2 linked regions of the Lepisosteus oculatus genome follow. Each later gene encodes a partner of the first gene's protein in a complex. Links are inferred from orthologs where the notes say so. Each region holds a gene or a part of one and is shown in the gene's direction. Other genes may lie near its edges.

Region 1 (3,752 bases):
AATACAATTACTGTGAAACAAAATAAAAATAAAATAAAATCTACAGACATATTACAGACATTAAACAACAAATGACATATCAGAAAATATTTACATAAACTGTAAACATATTGAGCATTATTGGGAGACAGGCCCTCTGTTTCTCGGGCTTCTGAGAGGTGTGAAATGTTGGAGTTGTCTGACTAGATGCCACATTCCTGAAGGCCAGGGCACCTGATAGCATCTGTGCTGTCCCACACAGTTTGTGACTTTGTGACTTTGTGATTAAAGGGGGGTGGGGTTTTATATCTCACTGCTCTTCTAATTGTACCTTGTTCCTGTGAATAACACCATTTGTAGCTACTCTTCATGTTTTGCTACTGGTCTTTACAGCTCTACCGATCCACTCTGTTGGCTTAATGTACACAAGGTATATGTGGCTGTCCCCATACTTCTCTGAAACTGAAATCATCACCTAGTTAAAAATTCACATGGGAATACAGAATCCGTTAAAAATGTCCCATTGGCCTAAAGTAATTTTCCCTCTCTTGTCAGCCACCTTATCATGGTGGTTTATTTAACTACACAAAGTTTCTTTGGCCTGTGATATTTCTCATTTCTAGCTGGTTGTATGCTAATTACTTGACTGTAGGGCCTCATTTGCTTCTCATACAATATAGTTCTGTCATGTCTCTTTACATACTGTATACTGTATGTAACATGGTTCGATTAACTCTTGTTTGGGAATACGCCGATAGGGTAAAAAAAAAAAACTATCGTTGATCATTGGTTTTGTTGTGCTTGTTCTCTAAAAATACATTTCCACCCCAATCCCGTTCTGTCTGGTCTTGCTGTACGGAATAAAGTACAAAAGCCTTGGGAAGTGACGTATCTTAAGTTTCCTATGAAAAACAAAAATGCAAAAAAAATTTAAACAAATGTATTAAACGTATGAAGAATTTACAAATACAACCAGAGGATCAGAAACAGGTACAAGAGAAAAAAACACAAACAGAAAAAAAAAACAATGAACTGCCGGAGGTAAAGTAAATTATGTGATCAAATGGTATTTTTTACATATATCAAATGTTTTCTTGCTTCAGCCTTTTTTATCGAATTTAGTGTTTCAACTCCACCTCAAAAGTACTAAAAAGGGGAGTATTATTAGACCGTTTTGATTTATGAATGTGAAATTCACCCAGAATGACCAATACATTTACTGTACATAAATGCTCTTTTTCGAAATTTCCTATTAAACAGTTCAATAAAATATCGAAATCCTCAACTGCCTGCAAACAATAAAGGTTTGCTGGACTGGGTCATACTGGCATTCGTAGTACTCGAGGAATGAGGAAACATTTCGACTAGAGACTGGCGGCGCAGACCCCACGGTGGCTGCGCAGTGTTGTTGCTATGACACTGGCGGGCGGGCGATGGCAGCAGAGAGCGGCCTTTTCGGTATCACAGCGGAAATAGAAACAGCACTGCACTGAGAATTCGCACAGTTACATCCAGCTGCAGGGAGAACTAGGAAATAAACTAAAAGTATAATCACGGAGGGGCAGTAAATTAAGGAAAACCGGGCGGTATCAACCCCTGCCATTCTCCTCACTTGCTTCTGCGATTCCAAAACACTCGGAGACCAAGGAAGACGGGTCGTGTTTGCAAGGTTTGTTGCAGAGTAATATTTACTATCTCATGCAAACAGCGAAGTTTTTTCCCCTCTCTCTCTCTCTCTCGTCTTGCAGGCCTGTCAGTGTGCTCTTTTAGGCGAGAAAAGAGGAAAATTGTGTGGTGTAAAAAGAAAAACAGCGCAGCGGGTCTATGTCCGTGAGTCCTCACTTTGGAGAATAAACTGGTTTGTGTTCGCATCATTTAGATGGAAAAAGTAACAGTCTGTAGTTGTGCTGTCTTTGTGCGGAGATTTAAACAAGCAGAGCATTTTTTTTTCTTAAGGCCCGGTTGCTTGAGGCCTGCTGGTCAGATTGGATCCAGCACACGGTGCAGTGTGCACTGCTGGGACTTTCCTGTGTTGTGATTGATGTATTCATATAAGTTAACGATTCTGGGCGATGCAATACCAAATGGCTGTTTTTCTTACAGTTGCGAATTTGCAAATCAGCTGTTGGAGTGAAATAAACCACAGCAAACCGATAACAGAGTATCAGCTACTGCTGTTTAGAGACGACTGTCACATCTTGTCTCCAATTTCTGTTTTGTGTGTTTTTTTTTTTCCTGCTAGGGTGCAACAACTTAGCGTTGAAGGTGTATATTTCTGTTTTTCCCTAAAATGACTACCGAGCACGATTGGTAAGCCTGGTACATACTGCGCACATGCAGCACATAGCTCCTTCATTACCTATGTAGCCTTCGTATGTATTCATTTCCTTTAGTGTTTTTTATTTATTATATGCGTACGTGGTCATCTTTTGATTACCACCTTCCGCTGTGATTTGTAATTGTCTAGGGCTGGACGAAAACTCAGTGCCATATTTGTCAAATTACCTGCCACCGTCTGAAAACTGAACGCGTAACATATTGCTTTTGAGCTTGAAGTTGAGGTTGTGCAACGCTATGAAGCAAAAGGGTGTAACAGGCAAGGAAAATGTAGCGATCTGCGTAAACCAAACACTCGTGGTTCAAAGTTCAGGCCGTGGTGTAGGAATAATTGGTTTAGCAAGCTAAATTCGACTTTCTGTCCGTCTTGCCTATTGGTAGCAGTAAATGAGGTGCCGTATGTTTTGTATTCAAAGGCAAAATGAAGTCATGCTATTTATACAACGTGGAATGTCGTTTAAACGATTAAAATAAATGGTGTGTCATTTTAGACATCCTGCTTTCAAGTCTTATCTAAATACCACTCTAGAACGAAAACCTATCAAGGCTTGATTTTAATGAGCTTATGTGGTACAGTCATTTGAAATGCATATAACAAAGATTAATGTGTTATCTTATTGAAGCAGTCATTAGTCTTTCTATTTGTTTATGCCATTTCCATAACTTGTTCCTGTATGATTTTGTGCTACACTTGAAATGTAATTGTGGTTGTCCCCCTTTACATATTATAGAGTGACTAATTGAGCTCAATGATAAGAGGTTTCTTGTTGTTCTGCTGTTGTGGTATTTATGGGTTTAATAACCTTTGAGCAAAACCACACTTATAATTATTCCGTTTTGTAAATGTCAGCTCATACAAAAATAACAAAATGCACAGAACTTGTAAACTAAAATGGGAGCTCGTATAGCTTTTGACTCAAGACATTTTTGATTGTGTTGACTGAGGCGTTGAAGCAGAAGAGATTATCTTGAAATAAATGACCTCCATCTGTAAGGATAAAGGCAAAATATCCAGTGAGAGATTTGATGTTATAACAGATTAATTTGTTGAAATAGAAGACCAAAGTGATTACATTATGCCATATGTATGACCAACATCCTGTCACACGCCTATAGATTGTACACATTAAGCCTAAGCTTTTTATGTAAAAGAAGCCAAGCTAGCTGTGTATACATTCAGAAATATGATGCAAAAATGTTGTATTGGGTATTAATCTAAAGATAATTGGACCTTTATGAAGTACACAGGAATGATGCTGCACACATTTGTGGATGCTTTATATTTTGCTAAGGCACTGTGATTATAATCATGAGCATTAGTTATACTTTTCTATTTGCTATTAGATGTTATAGAGGAATCGCATCTTTTCAATAGATAAAAACATGTCACAAGAGTTCCTTTAAATACGAACATTACAAATGGTAAAAATAAAATG
Region 2 (3,752 bases), on another chromosome or scaffold:
CATTTAATGACCTGCATTACAAGTTTACATACATATACAAAACATCTACTGAACCAGCACAGTAGCAGAAGCAGCTACAGCAAACAACTCAGCAAAATAAAAGGCCCATTATGTCCACAAGCCCTGCTACCCTGTACATGCTGTGAACCCATCATCTTCCCCCAATGAGATACAAAGCTAAACCAGTTACAGGGTTTCGTTTGTATTTGCAAGATCGCAGTACAGAGGAGGAAATCTTTTCTAAGCCTAGATCTATAAGTGATTTTTTTTTTGCAGTTCGTTACGGGATATTTATGCAAGCATGGAAAAGTGTTACTAGTAGATAAATACAGAAAACATTCCTCGACAGATAATTTAATTCGATTCTTGTTCAAAACGTTATTAAAGCAAGGCTACAGACCCCCGGGACCGGGAACAGCACTAACAAGGCAACACGAAGCTTCAAGTGCGGATTTTTAACGACGTCATCTAATTCTAGTAAAAACAGGGTCACAAAGTTCAATCGACAACTTTCTCTATTTCTGCAACATGCCGACTTCTCTAGCGTAGTATGCCAACTGCCATTTTTTACATCGTCGCAAGCGACACTTAAAAACACAACATCGTATTTTCTCATCATGCAACCCTCGCACGTCGAATCACCTTGGAGTCACGTCTTCACTCAAATGATCCTAGCAGTGTGGAGATCCGATTACTAAAATAAATGCGTGGCGATGAGGTTAACGTTTAGGGAAGAAACAAAGAAAATGCTCTTTAAAAACCTGAAATTCAAAACCAATTTAAAATATCAAGACATGACTTTAGATACACGGTGAATCGACACACAGGCAATTTTAGATTTAAGATTTAAATGTGTCTTATACTTTGCAACCAGTATCTATCAAGTTTAAAACTGGTTATTTCCCCCGGGCTCCTCTATATATGCGCACTGGGTACCCGCCTCCCATTCAACGACGATCGAAAACTGAACAGATTTTGCACACGTACAGTACAAGACTACGGAAGTAACGCTCTATTAAAGGAATAAAAACGATGCAAATGCGTTTCCGTTTCGCATCGGTCATATACAACGCATTTGCTTAACCTGAATTCGCTGAACGCATTGTTGCATTTCACTCAACGCAGGGAGCCATACCACGGCCGCTGTTCTGATTGGTAGCAACATCTAGATGTGTTTCGCCAACAACTCAGAGTATTCTGCATCGTAAACCTTTTCTCAACGATACTGAAAAGCCTCTACACGTAGTTTCCTTTAAAATCTGTCGAAATTTACCTGTTTGCGACTGAGCAAATCTTGTTTACCCCCAAAGCCCGCAATCCTTCTACACGACTGTGTCCTACGTCACGTATGCCTCAAGTACCCAGTGAAGTGTGTGCTACGTCATAAATAAGCGACGCTAGGTCGCCTGACATGCTAACAATATTAACCAATCAACACTTGGAGATTCGGTTATGATCCCGCCTTCTGCTGTTATTGACAGTCGAACTCACCTATTAGATGGTCAGTTCTCTCCTAAGACACCCTTCATGACCTATTAACGCAGTTTTTTAAGTGCCATGTTCTGCGATAAACCCAGGACTGGTCAGAAAAATCCAGATCCAAACTAGGCAGGCGTTTTTTTACGTTAGGTGTTACAAATTTGTGGATTTGTAAAGTAGATTGTTTTCAATTCACATTTCCAAACCTCTGCCTTCTAACAGTGTCTAAGGTGAGACGTGATTTTGAAAAATTTCTGTAAAAAGTGGGGTTTATGTTTTGCAAATCCTGAATTGCTTATTTGCCTTTTCTACACACTTATATTGTCAGTTTTTGCGTACAGCAAAGCAAAACTGATATTGTTTTTGGAAGAGTTCAGAGAGTTTCAAATATCTAGTTGTCTTATTTACCTGCATTTGTTAGTTAAGTAACCGAAGTCTTAAAAAAAAACAAATTGTATCAAATGATTGAATAACTGTTCCATAAGCATTCTTGATAAACACAGTCATATAGAATAAATACCTCTTTGTAAACATGTTTTCAGTATTGTCGTTAATGAAATCCTCGTAGTAATTGCCGTTGACAGATATCATTTAAACGAGAAAACCTATGGTAATGTGTCTATGGCCGGATGAGATGGGAGACTAGGTAATTTTTAATTTCCAGATTTCGAGAACGTTATCTAGTCAATCTAAGTTTAGTCACCTCTGCGCAATTACTGAACACGGTTCTGTGGAAGAAGAGCTCGCAGATGAACCGTAGTGCTCATTTCTCCTTTGCAAGTCTGGATCTGCTGGTGTTTCACCTGTTTTAAATTCATAGACTGCGCACCCTGCGTTTTTAGCAATTTGCTCTGGTGGCTGCGTCGTGTCGGGAGTGTTTTTACGCCGCGCATGTGATGCCTTCCTGGCTCTCCTAACGTTGTGTGGCGTTGGATGAGGGAGTACCTGGTTCCGTTGTTGAGCAGTCGCGGTGTGTAACTATGACATTTCATCTTAAGTTTAGCTTTCTTTTTGTAAAAGTAGTGATGCACCGTGTGGAAACGATTTCTCATTTGATCTTTAAAACGCCAAGAAAATCGGTTAATCGATTTTTTTCCCCTTAGTTACCTTTTCTCATAGCTGGTCATTTCTGCTTCAACCTCTATGGTGCCCCCTCCGCAATGTATCTTAGGCTGTCCCGAGTACAGCCAGTGATGTGGTCAAATTGCCCATATCTCTTCTAGTGCAAGAAACCAGTGACACGAGTAGACCTGCGTCTTTACGCGAGGTGTTTTTACGCGAATTCGTGTACAGGCGGTCAGTGACGGAGAAATAAAACGATGCGGGAGATTGTGCGAATTCACATGTGGCACTGCGCGCACCTGAGCTACACCCAGGAACTCGTTACCGAGCCTGTAGCGCACCGGTGCGGCGTCACCCTCGGTATGGCTCGGAAACCTGAAAACAGGTAGGAAGGGTAAAGGCGAGTCGTGAAAAGTGCCCGATTTGGAGTTAAGAATCGAGATTTTGAACAAGTTAAGCGGTGGGGTGACGCAGACCAGTCTGACGCGTGCTCTACGGCAGAAATCAATCCTTGATTCGTGCAGTTTGAGACAGAATGCAATTCGTGAGAGCTAGGCATCTCCTGTGTTCCCTGCATTGTATTATCAAATTTTATTTGACCTCTTCGGCATGCTGTACAGTATTGTATTTGCTGTATTGCTCTATCCGTGATACCATAAACCGCATGCATGCACATACTAATGCACTTGAGATTGATTGTCCTTGTTTCAGGGCGGGGAATAGGTCTAAGGGAGGGTGTTCTGATTATACGCTCTTTGTCAGGAACCTAACTTTACCTCGTAAGACACGAGTCCACTGTATTCCTCTTGCTGCGCGTTTCTTGTACAGGGCTGCGTTTATTTACAAACAGATCTCCCCATCTGGAATTGCTGATTTTTTTTTTAGCAACTTGGCTTTACAGCTCCAACCCTTGTACTACAGTAAAACCGAGGACCAGTGGAGATAATCCTGGAAGGTCCAGCATGCTTTACAGGAATGTCTGTACTAGCTGGCATGTCGCTTACTGAGGGTTGTGTGCTAAATTGCAGTCACGGTTAGCTAATGATGCAGCCCATGCTCGTATCCCGTGGCCGGCAGAGGAATCCTACTCCGTTGGGCCCCTGAGCAAGGCCCTTAACCTCAACTGCTCCAGGGGCGCTGTACAATGGCTGACCCTGTACTCTGACCACAGGCTCTCTCCCTATCTCTTTCATCTGTGTGTCTGTGTCTCA

What was found.
Region 2: the proteins of cab39 (region 1) and strada are in contact, whole or in part, in a crystal structure (PDB 3GNI), measured with the Homo sapiens proteins. The link is inferred for Lepisosteus oculatus from reciprocal best matches to the Homo sapiens genes CAB39 and STRADA. Residues at the interface, in NP_001124321.1 of Homo sapiens: Leu26, Glu27, Lys28, Gln29, Tyr55, Gly56, Thr57, Asn58, Ala85, Asp86, Gln88, Leu89, Phe92, Glu93, Lys96, Arg107, Glu138, Leu141, Ile145, Ser176, Thr177, Phe178, Asp179, Ser182, Asp183, Glu221, Asn222, Tyr223, Val224, Arg227; in NP_001003787.1 of Homo sapiens: Pro64, Leu104, Glu105, Cys107, Ser108, Asn109, Val112, Gln116, Leu119, His120, Lys123, Leu124, Phe125, Asn126, Thr136, Phe137, Ile138, Asp140, Asn141, Leu143, Tyr185, Met189, His223, Gly224, Arg226, Val426, Asp427, Asp428, Trp429, Glu430.

Annotation. Positions count from the first base shown.
Region 1 is NC_090708.1:8,183,389-8,187,140, forward strand, and holds the start of cab39 (calcium-binding protein 39), read left to right. Parts: upstream 1-1,414; 5' UTR 1,415-1,648; intron 1,649-1,767; exon of another isoform or gene 1,768-1,837; intron 1,838-3,752. UniProt on the Homo sapiens protein: Component of a complex that binds and activates STK11/LKB1. In the complex, required to stabilize the interaction between CAB39/MO25 (CAB39/MO25alpha or CAB39L/MO25beta) and STK11/LKB1.
Region 2 is NC_090723.1:1,910,935-1,914,686, forward strand, and holds the start of strada (STE20-related kinase adapter protein alpha), read left to right. Parts: upstream 1-1,525; 5' UTR 1,526-1,709; intron 1,710-2,344; exon of another isoform or gene 2,345-2,449; intron 2,450-3,752. UniProt on the Homo sapiens protein: Pseudokinase which, in complex with CAB39/MO25 (CAB39/MO25alpha or CAB39L/MO25beta), binds to and activates STK11/LKB1.